4 linked regions of the Callithrix jacchus genome follow. The protein of the gene in region 1 interacts with the protein of each later gene in a pairwise test. Links are inferred from orthologs where the notes say so. Each region holds a gene or a part of one and is shown in the gene's direction. Other genes may lie near its edges.

What was found.
Region 2: the proteins of CCDC33 (region 1) and TTC19 interact in a two-hybrid assay, tested with the Homo sapiens proteins (2 studies listed by BioGRID and IntAct). The two-hybrid records come from large-scale screens. The link is inferred for Callithrix jacchus from reciprocal best matches to the Homo sapiens genes CCDC33 and TTC19.
Region 3: the proteins of CCDC33 (region 1) and ABCF3 interact in a two-hybrid assay, tested with the Homo sapiens proteins (2 studies listed by BioGRID and IntAct). The two-hybrid records come from large-scale screens. The link is inferred for Callithrix jacchus from reciprocal best matches to the Homo sapiens genes CCDC33 and ABCF3.
Region 4: the proteins of CCDC33 (region 1) and HNRNPF interact in a two-hybrid assay, tested with the Homo sapiens proteins (3 studies listed by BioGRID). The two-hybrid records come from large-scale screens. The link is inferred for Callithrix jacchus from reciprocal best matches to the Homo sapiens genes CCDC33 and HNRNPF.

The regions. Positions count from the first base shown.
Region 1 is NC_133509.1:21,056,774-21,060,841, forward strand, and holds the start of CCDC33 (coiled-coil domain-containing protein 33), read left to right. Parts: upstream 1-1,268; 5' UTR 1,269-1,312; coding exon 1,313-1,622; intron 1,623-2,577; coding exon 2,578-2,913; intron 2,914-4,068.
Region 2 is NC_133506.1:84,645,308-84,649,549, reverse strand, and holds the start of TTC19 (tetratricopeptide repeat protein 19, mitochondrial), read left to right. Parts: upstream 1-1,442; 5' UTR 1,443-1,467; coding exon 1,468-1,651; intron 1,652-1,736; coding exon 1,737-1,846; intron 1,847-3,485; coding exon 3,486-3,596; intron 3,597-4,242. Other genes in the region: ZSWIM7 (zinc finger SWIM domain-containing protein 7), read right to left, coding at 808-940. UniProt on the Homo sapiens protein: Required for the preservation of the structural and functional integrity of mitochondrial respiratory complex III by allowing the physiological turnover of the Rieske protein UQCRFS1.
Region 3 is NC_133516.1:13,170,522-13,174,688, forward strand, and holds the start of ABCF3 (ATP-binding cassette sub-family F member 3), read left to right. Parts: upstream 1-1,367; 5' UTR 1,368-1,384; coding exon 1,385-1,457; intron 1,458-1,679; coding exon 1,680-1,827; intron 1,828-1,968; coding exon 1,969-2,048; intron 2,049-2,560; coding exon 2,561-2,607; intron 2,608-2,824; coding exon 2,825-2,922; intron 2,923-3,015; coding exon 3,016-3,138; intron 3,139-3,294; coding exon 3,295-3,561; intron 3,562-3,861; coding exon 3,862-3,942; intron 3,943-4,025; coding exon 4,026-4,085; intron 4,086-4,167.
Region 4 is NC_133513.1:36,094,541-36,098,704, reverse strand, and holds the start of HNRNPF (heterogeneous nuclear ribonucleoprotein F), read left to right. Parts: upstream 1-1,364; 5' UTR 1,365-1,418; intron 1,419-1,758; 5' UTR 1,759-1,822; intron 1,823-2,712; exon of another isoform or gene 2,713-4,164.

The DNA.
Region 1 (4,068 bases):
CTTTGCTATAAGAGGGTCTGGGCTGTCTGTAAAGTGAAGCTGTGCCTCCCATTGTAAGTCTTAATTAAGAAGGTAAACAAGGCCAGGTGTGGTGGTTCATGCCTGTAATCCTAGCACTTTGGGAGACCAAGGTGGGTAGATCACTTGAAGTCAGGAGTTTGAGACCATCCTGGCCAACATGGTGAAATCCTGTCTCTACTAAAAATACAAAAATTAGCTGGGTGTGGTGGCACATGCCTGTAGTCTTAGCTACTTGGGAGGCTGACGCAGAATGGCTTGAACCTAGGAGGTGAGGTTGCAGTAACTGAGATCCTGCCATTGCACTCCAGCCTGGGCGACAGAGCGAGACTCTGCCTCGAAAAAAAAAAAAAGAAAAGAAGAGGAAAGTAAACTAAGGGCTTGTTCCCTGAAAATAGACACGGTCTCCCTTCCCTTGAGACTCCCTGCACCTCAAGTCAATGGGAATGAATAGGCACATAGAGATAGGCTCTCCCCGAATGGGAAGTTCTGGATATCACATATCCACATGCTCCCCATACCAGAATCTTCATCCTCGACCTGCTTTCAATTTTTCCATAGAATTTAGCATCTTTGTGCCAGGTATAGTAGCCAATGCCTATAATCCCAGCACTTTGCAAGGCTGAGGTGGGCAGCTCACCTGAGGTCAGGCATTCGAGACTAGCCTGGCCAACATGGCAAAACGCTGTTTCTACTAAAAATACAAAAAAAAATTAACTGGGTATGGTGGTAAACGCCTGTAATCCCAGCTACTCAGGAGGCTGAGGCAGGAGAATCGCTTGAACCAGGAGGTGGAGGTTGCAGTGAGGCGAGATCACCGCCATTGCACTCCAGCCTGCCTGAGAGATGAAAGCAACACTCCATCTCAAAAAAAAAAAAAAAAAAAAAATTAGCATCTTCTAGCATACATTATAATTTACTTATGTTCTATGTTTAGTGTTTATTTTTGTCTGTCTCTACACACCTCTCCCACTAGAAGATAAACTTCAGAGGGCTGGAGTTACTGTTTGGTTCACTGCTGGATTCCAAACGCCTAAAATAGTGTCTGGCACGCAGTAGGTGCTCAAGAAATATTTGTTGAAGGAACAAATGCTAAAGGGAAGGGATTGATGGAACAAAAGTTTCCTGGGTCAGGCCCAGGTTCCTGCCTTGTTACCTGGTTTCTCCTCAAACAAACAGAGGTGGGTGGGGAGTGGCCCTGAGCACGCAGCCTGCAGGCTTTCAGATTGGGTTCAGGCTGGGCCGTGGGTGAGAGGGCGCAGTGCTCAGCCTGGCAGTCGATCCCCCCGTGGCCATGGCATTCAGAGGGCCTGAACCCTGGGTCTCTACATCCCTGCTGAGCCGGAGACTGAAGGCAGAGGAGAAGACCCTGGATCTAGAGTTCGAAGTTTTGAGCGTGGGGTTTAATGAGGGGGGTAGATATGCCCTGAGACTGTCAGCTGAGAACCCCTTGCAGGCGGGCTCTGGGGCTGGGGTGCAGTTGCAAGTGAATGATGGGGATCCCCTCCATGCCTGCTCTGTTGTCACTGATGTCATTGAGCAGCAGGAACCTGGCCACAGTCTCACCCTCACCAGGAACAAGTTTATCTTTACTTTGCCCAAAGGTATGAAGTGGGGGTGGGGCTTGGGGGAGAGAAAGACCCTGGAACCCCTGCCTCAGCCCCACTCTGGGACCCCAGAGAGCCTGAGGAGAACTGGGAGGGGTGGGGCTCCAGACTGCATGCCAAAGCTCTGCTGGTGTGACCTTGGGCAAATTCTGGGCCTCTGTGACCCCTGCCTCCTTCAGTGTGGCCTGGGAACTGGACGCTGATGTCCATCACGCAAGGTCAGGTGAGAAGGAAATAGAAGCGCAGATGAGAGATGGCTTTGTAAATATAAGAGCTCTGATCATACGGTGGGTTTGGGGGCCAGTCCTCGGCAGTGGACATCACACTGAGTAACGTTAGACTCAGCCCCTTGAGTGCCTGGCCCTGATCCCCACTTGATTGTGGGCATGGGGGTGTGGACAGAAATGAGGGGACCCAGGGCCCAGGACACCTGGGCCCTGCCTTCTGGAACTTCCAAAGCAGGTGAAGGGACAGGAACTTCAAGCAGAGAGAAGTAACGTGAGCTGGAATGAGAAGGAGATCTATACCTAGACTGTGAGGTCACCCCAGCAGGCTGCCTGGAGGAGGAGGGATGTGGGGGAATGGGGAAACCAGGTCACAGACTTTAAGTGGCCATAAATCAGGGGCAGGCTGAACTCTTCCCAAGTCTAAGAGTCGAGGTTGGTAGCAGGACCTGGGATCATCCCACAGGCTAAGCCCTCCCTTCCTCACCTCTGCTGGGTGGGCTTGGATTGGGTATCAGCAAAGGGAGGGAGTCCAGGGAGGGTTTCTCTGCAAATGCTGGGGGCCTAGGAGGGAGTCGCCCACCAGGGAAATCTTAGCCAAGACTGCTTGGCTTCCACTCGAAGGCTGGGCAGCCCAGGTTTCCCCAGGGCCCTGCCTGTCCTCCTAGTCCCCCAGCAGATGCAGAGAAACCTGAGACCATCTCTGAGCCCCGTGTTCCCTCATCCAGGTTTCTGCAAGAATGATGGGCAGCATGACGCTCAGCTGCGCGTGGAGGCGCTGAGGCTGGACGAACCCTCAGGATGGACGACCCAGCGGGTGGGTGAGGCCATCTTCCCCATCTACCCGAGGCCGGACCAACCCCGCATGAACCCGGAGGCTCGGGACCATGAGGACCTGTACCGCTACTGTGGCAACCTGGCGCTGCTCCGGGCCAGCACGGACCCCACAGCCCGCCACTGTGGGGGCCTGGCCTACAGTGTGGCCTTCCACGTGCACCGGGACCTTCAGCCCCCAATCTCAGACAGCACTCTGGGGGCTGGCCAGCCAGAACGGATGTCACCATGCCCAGAGCCCCAGCTCCCCAAGCTGCAGGTGGGTGCTTCCCATGTCCTCGTTCAGATTTGGGCTCACTGGGCACAAGACCCAACCTCCCTGATAAGCCAGGCTAGCGCCTCTCCTGAGCTGAGCAGAGCAGCAGAGGAGCTCCCAAGGCTGCCACCTTCAGTCTGGGGAACATGCAGTCTGAGAATGGACACAGGAGTCCCAGTTTGAAGGGACAGACAGAAAATGGGCAAAGGCCACACAAATCAGGTAGCCAACTAAGTGGGGTTTCTTTTGCCCTGTGGGTTAGTGACCCCTGAGCCCCTTCAGTTCCCAACCTTGTTCTCACCAGATTTTGCGGAAGGCCCCAGGTAACCAGGGAACACAAATGTCTTCTGTGTGCCCATCCTCAAGCCCATCCAGCATCCACCCTGCCCAGGAGGGGCTTGGCTCCAACCCAGGACCCAGGTGAGAGGGTCTAGTCCTTATCCAAAATATAGGAGGCTTCTCCCCTATGGCCATGCTCTGTGACGAGAGAGTGTGTCTGGTAGGCTTCACGGCCAGCGCAGATAGCAGCTGGTAGAGCGAGTAGTCACCCATTTGACAGGTGGAGAAACAGGCCCAAGGTACGCTTGACTCCACTTAATGTCAACAGCATTTCCTGGAGACTTCAGTGCATAATAGTGCACAGGATCCAAAACTGATCAGCCCCTAAGCTCAGGGGGTCGCCTGGCTTGAAGACAGTTGGGTATAGTGAGGGCATCATCCATGGTCCTGTAGGGCATGGCTGGCTGGCAGGAGAGTTCTGGTGAGGGAGTGTGCATGTCGGATTTTGGTGCCTGGGAATGGCTTCTTGGAAGAGGGGTCGTTTGAGATGAATCTTCCCATTTATTCATTCATTTACTCTTTAATCCATTAATTCATCCATCAAACATTTGTTAAATGCCAACTTTGCCGACTGCATGCTACGAGGGTGAGATTTAGGGACAGCAATCCTGGGCTCTGGGGAGGGTGTTCCAGGAGGAGGGACCACAATGCACTAGGTAAGGAAAAGGGGGAGGTTCGGCTGGCAGCAGAGGATAAGCTGAGGTTGGAGCCTGCAGCTGACAAGCAGAGACGCCTGGCCCACCTGTGGAGTCTCTCTCCCTGGAGATGGGAGAAAGTGGAGGGGGTCGAG
Region 2 (4,242 bases), on another chromosome or scaffold:
CCCCCCCGCAAGGCAGAATCTCACTCTGTCGCCAGGTTGGAGTGCAGTGGTGTGATCTCAGCTCCCTGCAACCTCTGCCTCCTGGGTTCAAATGATTCTCTTGCCTCAGCCTCCCAAGAAGCTGGGATTACAGGCGCGCACCACCATGCCGGGCTAATTTTATCGTATGTTTAGTAGACATGGGGTTTCACCGTGTTAGCCAGGATGGTCTCGATCTCAGTTTCTTGAGTAGCTGAGATTACAAGCGCCCGCCGCCACGCCGAGCTAATTTTTTGTATTTTTAGTACAGATGAGGTTTCACCATGTTGGCCAGGCTGGTGTTGAACTCCTGACCTCAGGTGACCCACCTGCCTCGGCCTCCCAAATTGTTGGGATTACAGGCGTGAGCCACCGCACCGGGCCTACTTTCTAAACAAAGTGTATGAAAGCATTAACTTTAATGTTAACATCAGAATTTGAGAAAAAGTTTAGGCTGGGCGCAGTGGCTCAGGCCTATAATCCCAGCACTTTGGGAGGCCGAGGCGGGTGGATCACGAGGTCAAGAGCTCGAGACCATCTTGGTCAACATGGTGAAACCCCCGTCTCTACTAAAAATACAAAAATTAGCTGGGCATGGTGGTGCGTCCCTGTAGTCCCAACTACTCGGGTGGCTGAGACAGGAGAATTGCTTGAACCCAGAGGCCGAGATCGCGCCATTGCACTCCAGCCTGGGTAACAAGAGCGAAACTCCGCCTCAAAAAAAAAGAAAATTTAGTAACTCAAAATTTCGAGTAAAATAATACAGAACTCCACGTTTCTATCACTCACGGTAGGCTCCTGTCCCTTCCACCCCAGGGCAGGGACCCGTCTCAAGGACCCAGCCAGGTTTTGATACTTCAGTCCCCACTGGCCTGCTCGCTCCGACGGAGGGGCTCCTGTAACTGCGCTGTACCCTAAACATTTGCTGAATCGATTTGTCCTTTACTTGTTCCAATTTCGCTTTTTTTTTTTTTCAAGAACATAAGGTTTACAGAACCACACGCAGAAAAGGCAGGGTCAGGCCCGGACGCCCCGCCTTCTGCCTCCCGGCCCGGCGGTGCCCGGATGCCCGGCCTGAGCCCACGGCGCAGCCACATACAACCTCCGTCCCGTACTTCGCGCACTCTCCTGCACCGCCGCGGCCATTTCGCTCAAGAGCTCCTCCACGACCGCCGGCAACACAACGGCCATCGCTCCGCAGGACACACCGTCCTCAACAGGCAGACCGCAACAAAGCGCCAGCGGACAGCGCCGACATGCGGAGTATCCCGGCCGCTCGCCCACCGGGGCCCGGCGAGACCGAGTGACGTCGGCGTGCGTCATCGCGCGTGCGGACGCAACGATGTCTTGCTCAGTCGTTATGGTTCGGCCAATCCGGAGGGCGCTCGGCGCGGGGGCGGGGGCTAGGATCACGCTCGGCCTGCAGTGCGCAGAGGAAGCGGCTGGAGTATGTACCGGCTCCTGAGCCGGAGCTTGGGCCGAGGCCTCCTGCGGGCCGCGGCGCTGCGGTGCCGGGGCTGCTCCGCGCGCCTACTCCCGGGTCTGGCAGGAGGCCCGGGACTCGAGGTCCAGGTGCCGCTATCCCGAGTTGCGCCGCACGGCCGGGGCTCGGGCCTGCTGCCGCTGCTGGCAGGTGAGGGGCGCGGGCCGGGCGGGGCCTGCCGGGCGGGGACAGGGGCGCGGGCCGGGCCCGATGACCTCAGAGCCCCTTCCCGCAGCGCTCACCGGGTTTTCGAGCCCCGCTGCGACAGAAGAGGAGGAGCAGCAGGGAACCGACGGGGCGGACGAGGCTGAGGCCGAGATCATTCAGCTGCTGAAGCGAGCCAAGGTGAGGCGGCTTGGCCCGGCTGAGCGCGGTAGCCTTTGTGAGCGGGGTCCGGCGGCCTTGTCGCTGCGCATTACTCTCTCCGCCTCGCCGAAGAGTGGATGGAGGCTCCACGGGTAGAATTGCTGAGAATCAGTTGGGTCATCCGAGAGAGGACTGGAATTCTTCCAGGCTTTTCCGACTCTAAGGCCTGCAGTAATACCTCTGCAGTGTCAAGTGCAAATGGAGATGGCGCCCCAGGCGTCATCTTTTTATGCAAACGAAATATCGGGAACGTTTTGTAAATGTTTTTATCGATTAACCAGCCTAGCTGAAATGACATAATTTCGCACGCATATAGCGGCCTGAAAATGGCAGCTTAGTGTTGGTTATGCGATTCAGTTCTCTTTTGAATTTTTCCTTTTCTCCACATGCTTTTCTATTTTATTTTCTCCAAGTTATCTCATCTCTTTCATTGAGCTAAATATCTACTCGATGCCAACCACGTCCAAATTTGTATTCCCAGTAGTGTGTTACTGACATGTCATCTGCATTTTGGGACCTTACCTACCTCAGATTTAACAATGTCCCAAACTAAACTCCATCTTTAATGCCTCCTCAACATATGCTTTCACCATCTCTTTACTACCATCAATTTTTCAGCCTAGAAACCTCATAGTCATTCTTAAAACGTATGTTATCTTACCATTGCCTTCCAGTACTCTTACAGACCAGCAACAGGTCCTGTTTCCAACAAACGCAAAATATTTCTAAATATTTCTCAAATCTCCCTATTTCTCTATCTCCCCAGTGCAAACCATCACTGCCACCACCTATGCTCCAGTAGTCTTCCCTGCCCTCTTGTCTCCCTGCATTGTATTCTTGCAGAAACCAGAGTGACCAAAAAAAAAAAAAAAGTAAATTGTATCATATCATCTCCTTGCCTGAGAGCTCTAAATGGCTACTCACTGCATATATGATAAAATACAAACTCCTTGCCATGGCTTGCAACACCCCACATTATCTAAACCACATACCTTGCCCACCAGTTTGGCAATAATCCTCTGGCTCACCATCCTCCCTTCGCATTTGGTTCTTTCCATTTCTCCCCTAAAACCATTCTCTTCAGCTTATAGGGACTTCATTCATTCTCTACCCTCTCTGTTTGAGTTATTCTCCCCAGTTCCTTATTTGGTTGACTCATTCTCATCTTTCCTACCTCAGTTTAGCTGTCATGTTCTTGGAAGGCTAATCTAATTCCCATTTAGAGGAGGCCCCTATCATTTCTTTCTGTCATCTTTATAGCTCTTATTAGTTTTAATTAACCTTACTTGCTCTATGTGGTCACCTCCAGCCTGTAGGAAATTAGAGGATGAAGGACAAGCAACTTCCTTATAAAATTTGTTGTAAGATCACATTTCTTCTGCCCGAGTCTCTTGGCCAAAACTTCATCAGATGGCCACACCTAGCTGCAAGGGAGGCTTACCTCCCTGTCACCTCTGTAGACAATGCCTTGTACATAGTAGGAATGCAGTAAATGTCTGATGAATGAGTAGCTTCCTTCTATCAGTTGGAATGCATAGTTACATACACTTTTGTCTGGTAGCATATGCATCTACTTTATGTTTCATTTTCTGTTATTTTGTTTGTCTTCTCTTTTCAGTTGAGCATCATGAAAGATGAGCCAGAAGAGGCTGAGTTAATTTTGCATGACGCTCTTCGTCTCGCCTATCAGACTGATAACAAGAAGGCTATCACTTACACTTATGATCTGGTAACTCTTATCACCAGTCTGAACCACTGAGGAGAAAAGTTGGATGGAAGAGGAGGGTTGTTAGTTCTCCTGATTTATATTCCTGACTTTCATGATGTTCTAAGGCACGTTCCCCCCCCCACCCACCCGAGACAGTCTTGCTCTGTCGCCAGGCACCAGGCTGGAGTGCAATGGCGCGATCTCGGCTCACTGCAACCTCCGCCTCCCACTTCCAAGCAATTCTCCTGCCTCAGCCTCCTGGGTAGCTGGGACTACAGGCCCATGCCACCACACCCAGCTAAATTTTTTTGTATTTTTAGTAGAGATGGGGTTTCACCATGTTGGCCAGATGGTCTCGATCTCTTGACCTCGTGATCTGCCCACCTCGGCCTCCCAAAGTGCTGGGATTACAGGCTTGAGCCATTGCACCCAGCCGAAGCTCTTTTACTTTTTTACTGAATTTTCTTTTGTTTTTGTTTTTGAGATGGAGTCTTACTCTGTTACCCAGGCTGCATTTCAGTGGCACGATCTTGACTCACAGCAAACTCCGCCTTGTGAGCTCAAACAATTCATGTGCCTCAGCCTCATGAGTAGCTGGGATTACAGATGTGCACCACTATGCCTGGCTAATTTTTGTATTGTAGTAGAGACAAGGTTTCATCATATT
Region 3 (4,167 bases), on another chromosome or scaffold:
TCCTGTAAAATGGTTAACCATCAGGATTGATTGATTCCTCATGATGGCAGGTGTTTTGTGTTTTTTTTTTTTGACGCGGAGTTAATTGTTGCCCAGGCTGGAGTGCAATGGCGCGGTCTCCGCTCACCCCAACCTCCACCTCCCAGGTTCAAGCGATTCTCCTGCCTTAGCCTTCTGAGTAGCTGGGATTACAAGCATGCTCCACCATGCCCTGCTAATTTTGTATTTTTAGTAGAGACGGTATTTCTCCATGTTGGTAAGGCTGGTCTCAAAACTCCTGACCTCAGGTGATCAGCACTCCTCGGCCTCCCAAAGTGCTGGGATTGCTGGTGTGAGCCACTGGGCCCGGCTGATGGCAATGTTTTTAATCCAAAGGGATGAATGGGTGGTAATGTAATTTTGGGTGCCACTTTTGGGGCCGATTGGAGGAATTTTCACGTTAAATATACAGCAATAACGTCATCTTGGAGGAAATTCCTAGCTTCCTGAGGGAATCGGTGAAAGGAAGTAGCCTTTTACTGGCATTTACTGAGATTCAGGGTGCGAAGAAGTCGGCTTTGGGGGTAGGTAGAGAATAAATACCAGTGAATTTATACAAGCCACGTTGTCCTGGTTTTCTTGCCCTTTGGCGGTGGATTTGGTCGTGCCTTGGGGTGGTGGAAGAACTGAATGGGCTTAATTCGCAAAGGTCAGCTCAATTATGAAGTATGAAGACAGGTCGCGGCGGGCAGGCAGGTGGCGCTGACCACCAGGCTGAGGAGCCCGTAGGATCCGGGGGCCCGCGAAAGCAAAGCACTGAGGTGGCGGGGTTTGCTGGAGAGTGACAATGTGCGGAAGGACCTGTTACTGCGGGAGCGGGAGCGGGAGCTCAGCGCTCAGAGTCAGAGACGAGGGTGAATCAGCAGCTCTGGGAGGGCTCCAAAATGGGCTTGGCTGAGTGCGCAGCCACAGCAGACGCGCCTCGAGAGAGCGCATAAAACCCGGCAAAGCCAAAGTGCGTTATCAGCCGCTGGTCTCTTGGGAGGCTCCCACCTGCCAGACCACCAGTGCCTCGCGCCCAGATAAATCTTGAGCACTCAGCCCCCGCCCCACCCGCCGCTCCTGGAACTCCACCTTCCAGAAGGCAGCGAGAACCGCATGTGTGGCTAATCTGTAAGCCGGAAAAGAGTTGCGCACGCGCAGAGAGGGCGGCCCAGCGCAGACTCAGCGCCTCTCCTCTGGGCCCCGCTCGCCCCGCCCACCGGGCTCCTTGCACTCCGCTCCTTTCTTGTATCACCGCTACGCATGCGCCTTGCAAGGAGGGGCGAGATTTCGGGGACAGGGCCGGGGGCGGGCCTAGGCCAGGGGCTCACAGCGACTGCGCGGACGGGTTCTCAACTGGAACATGGCGACTTGCGCCGAAATCCTGCGGAGCGAGTTCCCCGAAATTGACGGACAGGTCTTCGACTACGTGACGGGTAAGCAGAACTGAATCAGCTGGCTGAGGACACCAAAGTGGAGGCCGGGGGAAAGCCTAAGCGAGCGTCGTGCCGGGGACTGTTGCCAGGCCTCTCCTCGGCGTGACCTCTTGTCCCGGGGGCCGGTTGGGTCTGGAACCTGGACTGGGGCCGCTGTTTGGGGAAACTGCTTGTGTGTCCTCCCTACCTGATACCTTCCTCGTTCTGCCACGCCCTGCGCAGGCGTCTTGCACAGCGGCAGCTCGGACTTTGAGTCTGTGGATGACCTGGTGGAAGCTGTGGGGGAACTATTGCAAGAGGTGTCCGGGGACAGCAAGGATGACGCGGGCATCAGGGCCGTGTGCCAGCGCATGTACAACACTCTGCGCCTGTATGTGCCGGGCAGTAGGGGTTGATGGGGGCGAAGGGAGGGCGAACGGTCCGGAGACAAGAGGTGGGGGAAGAAGGTCTGACGGCCGTAGAGCTTTTCCCTCAACTGCTAACTTTGCGCTTTCTCTCCCTACCTACATAGGGCTGAACCACAGAGCCAGGGAAATAGCCAGGTGCTACTGGACGCCCCCATCCAGTTGTCAAAGATAACGGAGAACTACGGTGAGAGTGAGGGGAGATTCAACTAACTGCCCTCTGTCCTTTTCTCTGCCCCTACCCATCTGCCCCCTGCAGCTTAGAGCTCCTACTGCGTCTTTTCCACAGGACAGGGTTGTAGGAGCTAGTTGATGTCCTTACCGAGGGCAGAAGAGTCCATGGTCGGGGGGAGGCTGTTGTTGGAGGGTTCTCCTAGCCCTTGGGTATGGTAGGAAGCATAGGAGCCTGGAACTGGACAGACTTGGTTTCACTCGCCCATTTTCCAGCTTACTAACCAGCTGCATGATCTTTTTAGAGTTGGTTATCTGTCCCCACCCCCTCCTATGCTTCTGTATTCTTTTACGTGAGGTTTGTTTGTTTATGTTTTTTAAGTGCAGGGAAGATAATAGCCGTCTATCTCCAGGATTATAAAGCTTTGTAGAAAACGTCTGTGTCTGTGCCTGGTTCATATTAGTCACTCAAAGTGTTAGTTTCCCTTCCCTCAGGGAGAAGGTGACTGCTTTTCTTATCGCTTACAGACTGTGGAACCAAACTTCCAGGACTGCTAAAGAGGGAACAGTCCTCGGTGAGGAGGAGGAAGCAAGGGAGGGAGTGTGTGATGGGGTTGGGAATGGACTGTCTAATTGGAGGATCTTTTGGGGGGATTTCTGACTGTGTCTTTCCCTGAGCCTTTGAGTCCGTTCATCTTGGGTAAGTTAAGAGGGTTTACTTGAGGTGTTCTCTCTTCGGGTTCCTTACTGAGCCTACACCCTAGAGTGAAGTCAATGTGTTTGGATCCTTAGACAGTGAATGCAAAGAAGCTTGAGAAGGCTGAGGCTCGACTTAAGGCAAAGCAGGAGAAGCGGTCAGAGAAGGACATGCTCAAGACCAGCAACCCTCTGTGAGTGGAGAAAGCATGGCTCAGAAGAGAGCAGAGTAGTGTCTGCCTGGACTGGTGGGGAGCACTAAGAGCTGTCCATTTCTCCCTTTAAAGAGTCTTAGAAGAGGCATCAGCTAGCCAGGCAGGCAGCAGAAAGGAGAGTCGATTGGAATCATCTGGCAAGAACAAATCCTATGATGTGCGAATTGAGAACTTCGATGTGTCCTTCGGGGACAGGTGAGGGAATCGTGGGGGCGGGACTTGGCTTTCTTTTTCTAATTAGGGGAAAATTTAGAGAGATGAAATGGGGCTACAAACAATGTTAGGTTTATCGTTAACTTTCTGTGCACCTGTTTTTAGAGCATCTTTGGTCTCCTTTCTCCACCCCTGCAGAGTACTGCTGGCTGGAGCTGATGTGAACCTGGCATGGGGCCGCCGTTATGGGCTGGTGGGGCGGAATGGGCTGGGGAAGACCACGTTACTGAAGATGCTGGCCACCCGGAGTCTCCGGGTTCCAGCCCACATTTCCCTGCTGCACGTTGAGCAAGAGGTTGCTGGAGATGACACCCCTGCCCTACAGAGTGTGCTGGAGAGTGACAGTGTGCGGGAGAGCCTGTTACGGCGGGAGCAGGAACTCAGCACCCAGATTGCTGCTGGCAGGTGAGGGCTTCAGGCTAGAGAGTAACTAGCAGCTGCTGGCCCTCACAGAGTGCCTGCCCTGCTGGAATAATCCACCATTTGCATGTGCATACTAGTAATCAACAGAGCTTAGAACTTGGCACTCTGGCACTCAGCAGCCCTTGTTCTTTCCACAGTGCCCATTGCCCTCATTCCCTTGAGCAGATCCTTCCTCTATTCTCTTCCTCTTGTAGCCAGTGGCCTCTTTCCAGCTGTATAGGGCACAGGACATCCTCCTAGACTGCCCCCACTTAGGCCATTTGCTGTTTCTCCTCCCTCCAGGGTGGAGGGCTCTGAAGCTGCAGAACTGGCAGAAATCTATGCCAAACTGGAGGAGATTGAGGCTGACAAGGCACCTGCCAGGTATATCAAACTCCCCTCCCTCCAGATTTCCTTTCCCTTCTGTGGACTGTTCCACTTGACTTCTTCAGTTTCTTCCCTCCTAGGGCATCAGTCATTCTCGCTGGGCTTGGCTTTACCCCTAAAATGCAGCAGCAGCCTACCCGGTGAGTGACCCTTGCCATTCTTGGCTTTGAACCCTGTTGACTCAGCCCCTTTCTGACCTGATGAACACCCACCCCTAATGTG
Region 4 (4,164 bases), on another chromosome or scaffold:
GCTCACTGGTCTCCGCCTCCTGTTTCAAGCAATTCTCCTGCAGCAGCCTCCCTAGTAGCTGGGACTACAGGTGGACAGCCACCATGCCCAGCTAATTTTTGTATTTTTTAGTAGAGACAGGGTTTTACCATGTTGGCCAGGATGGTCTCAATCTCGTGATCTGCCTGCTTCAGTCTCCCAAAGTGCTGGGATTACAGGCGTGAGCCACCGCGCCCGGCCTGTTTTATTTTTATTATTTATTTATTTTTATTTTTGAGACAGAGTTTCGCTCTTGTTACCCAGGCTGGAGTGCAATGGCGCCATCTCGGCTCACCACAACCTCGGCCTCCTCGGTTCAGGCAATTCTCCTGCCTCAGCCTCCTGAGTAGCTGGGATTACAGGTATGCGCCACCATGCCCAGCTAATTTTTTGTATTTTTAGTAGAGACGGGGTTTCACCATGTTGACCAGGATGGTCTCGATCTCTTGCCCTCGTGATCCACCCGCCTCGGCCTCCCAAAGTGCTGGGATTACAGGCTTGAGCCACCGCACCCGGCTTTTTTTTTTTTTTGAGACGGAGTCTCACTCGGTTGCCAGGTTGGAGTGCAGTAGCGCAATCTCGCCTCACTGCAACCTCCACCTTTTGGGTTCAAGCGATTCACCTGCCTCAGACTCCCGAGTAGCTGGGACTACAGGCGCGCGCCATTACGCCGTCCTTTTTTTTTGTATTTTAGTAGAGACGGGGTTTCACCATGTTGGCCAGGCTGGCCTGGATCTCCTGACCTCGTGATCCGCCCCCCTCCGCCTCCCAAAGTGCTGGGATTACAGGAGTGAGGCACTGCGCCCTGCCCTCAGTGTATTTTTTTCCTTAAAAAATTTTTTTTGAGACAGCGTCTCGCTCTGACGCCCAGGCTGGAGGCAGTGGAGCACTCAGGGCTAAACTGCATCCTTGACTTCCCGGGCTCAAGTGATTCTCCCGCCTCAGCCTCCCAAATTACTGGGACCACAGGCATGCACCACCACGCCCGGGAATCGGCTCTCATTTCCTTCTTTCAGCCCAGTCTTCAAATCAGGCGTCCTTTCGGCGCACATTTCAGAGTCCTGCGAGTCTCACCACTGTCGTTCCTCCAGGGAGTCAGCGGAAGTAAGAGGGATCTTTCCCGCCGCTCCACTCCCTCTTCCTCCTCCCGTCCCCTCCCCTCCCCTGTCTTCTCCAGAAACGTCCGGGCTCAAGAGTCTCCGCGGCCTCCCCTGCCCCCACCCCAGTGTCGGCTCCGCCCTGCGGCCTGCCGCCCAATCGACGGCTCCCCGCTGGGCGCGTCACAATAGCGTCGTCGCGGCCCCGCCCCCGGAAGCCATACGCAAAGGCTCCACCCTGCCGCGGTCCTTGCGTCTTTCCGGTCCGTCGTGGAAGGAGGCCTGCGCCGCGTCTTCCTTAAGGTGAGGTTCTTGGGGCACCGAATTGCGGTCACGCCGGCAGGTAGCAGCGGGGTGGGGACGCGGGCTCTTTGGGTTTCTGTTTCCAGGTGTCCAGGGCGAAGGGCCGAGCCGGGGAGTAGGGCCTAGCCGGCGCCTGGCACGCCGGGAGCAGGAGGGCTTCCGGCAAAGCCGCGTGCACTCGACAGGCAGGCCCTGAGGACTGGGACCGGTCGCGTTCCTGCCCCCGCCTCTGTTAGGCCCCGCCCCGTGCTCGCAGCCGGGGGTTTCCATGGTGATGGTCAACAAGCCTCAACTGCCACAGCTACAACTGCCAAGTTCCCCGCTTTTCACCCTCCGCTAGGTGCTCCGAGGGACGACCAGGGTTCCTGATGTGAGAGCGGGAACGTAGAGACTCGGAGGCCGAGGTGAGGGGCGGCCACCCGGGACCGAGCGGGGACCGAGTACTCTGGGGGTGGAGACCGTGGGGCTGGGATTTGAGATTCGGGAGATCACTCGAGGTCCGGGGCCGCGTACCCGCACCCTGGCGATTGGGCCTAGTGGGGTGGGGATTGTGGGGCTGGGCCTGAGATTTGGGATTAGGGAAGCGAGATCCGAGTTCAAGCGCCGCACATCTGGGGCCGAGGGAGGATTGCACATACTGAGGGGCTGAGATTTGGGTTGACGGGATTCGAGGTCGAGGCGCCGGTACATGGGACCGGCGAGGACTGGCTCCACTGGGGTCGGGAGGCGCAGCGTCGTAGGTAGAGAGCCGTACGCCCAGACACTGGTCCCACGGGGTGAGCACCGCGGCCTGAGATTTTGGAGTCGGGTGGCTGGGAAGACATGGCCGGCCGGGTGCGTTATAGCCGGGCCTCCTGGTGGAGCGCTGGCGACCGTCGGAGGGCTCTGAAAGTGAGAACAGGCTTGGCGCGGCGGGAGGCCCAGGCGGGAAGATGTCTTGAGCCCAGGAGTTCCCGACCAACCTGGTCAAGATAGTTAAACTCCGTCTCTGCTAAAAATTAAAAGAAAAATTTACGCGTGGTGGCGCGCGCCTGTTGTCCCAGCTACTCGGGAGGCTAAGGCGGGAGGGTCGCTTGCGCCGGAGAGGTCGAGACTGCAGTGACCAGTGATAGTGCCGCGGCATTCCAGCCTGGCTGACGGGAGTGAGACCTAGTCTCAAGAGTAGTAATACCTGAGTAAAATGAAAGCCGTGCGCTCACGTGGCCGCAGGCGCCGGAGTTGCAATAGACTCTGGCAGGAAGCTGGCTCCGCCCTCCTCCCACGCCCGGTTCCCTCAGCCCTCACTCTCCGCCCTGGGCTCTTTTTCCTCCTCGGCAGCGCCGCGTGTTCTCGGAGCGCAGTCTCTGGGTTAGTCTCCAGTTCCTAGAGGTATGGTGTTTGTATTTGGGGTGGAAATCTTCGACTCATACCTGCTCTTCGGCTTAGTTGTCCTTTTTTTTTTTTTTGCTAGTTTGAAGTATTTTCGTCGATTCCGCCCTGCTTCTAGAAAACTTGTGGACCGGGCCTAGGTCGCGCTGCGCTGGCGCCCCGCTCTCCCGACCTCGGAGTCGTGGACTAGAGTTCTGAGGAGCGGGGCGCCAGACTCGCCCTACCAGCCAGACCGCCCTGGTCGCGGGAACCCCTCCCCCCAGGCGCCAGGGACCTCCGCTCGGCGCCGCGTGGGTCCCAGCGGGAGGGCGGAAGGAGAGCCGGACTCGGCCGTCGCCCGCGGGGCGCCCTTCGCTGCGGCTTTTCGGTCTCCTAGCGACCCGGGGACGAACTAAAATGGCTGTTAAGTTCTTGAAACTGCTCTTGGGCACCGGGGGCTCGGACCGGCCAGCTGCGTGGCGGGACAGGAGGCGCGCGCTGGCGGCTGCGCGCGAAGGGCAACGGGCGGCGGCGGCTTCCCGGAACCGCGCGGGGCGGGCTCTGTGCCGGGGTCAGGGCCGCAGCCTCAGGCAGCAGGGAGTTCTGAAAGCGTAGTCTTTGTAGTCGTTCTGTTCCACAAGTCATCTTAATTCTTCCAAAAATATGCATGTATAATTCTACTTACATTTTAAAAAGTTGAGTGTGTATTTGTCTCTTAATTCCTAGTAAGATGAAAATTTCTTGGGTTTTCCAGGTAGGCGAAAGATGCCATAAGTGCGAGCCCTGAAAAGTGACCTCTGCTTGCTCTTCTAGACAGAATTTCTAAATCATAAAATAAGACATTGTTACTTTTGATGAACATTAAGAGAGTGCTTTATTCCTAAGCAAGAAGATTTTTTGCCTTGTAGATATTACGTTCCTCATGCATCCTTTAGATCATTAGCGTCATTATAGGCCGGGCGCTGTGGCTCCCGCTTGTAGTCCCAGCAGTTAAGGAGGCCGAGTAGGATCGCTTGGGCCCACGAGTTGGAGACCAGCCTGGGCCGCAGACACTGACCCTGTCTCTATAAAAAAAAAATTTTTTTTTTAGTTACATTTTGAGACAGGTCTCGCTTTTTTGCCCAGACTGGAGTGCAGTGGTGTGCTCTCAGCTCGCTGCCGAGATCCTCCTGTGCTCAAGTGATCCTCCCACCTGAGCTGCCAGAGTATCTGGGACCACAGGCAGTCGCCAGCACACCCTGCTAATTTTTGTATTTTTGGTAGAGGTGGTGTCTTATGTTGATTTTAAAACTTTTGTGTTCAAGGGATTCTTCTTCGCTACCAAAGTGTTGGGATTATAGGCATGTGAAAAAAATTGTATTTACATGTTACGGTTTATTTCTCTAATTTAACATCTTTT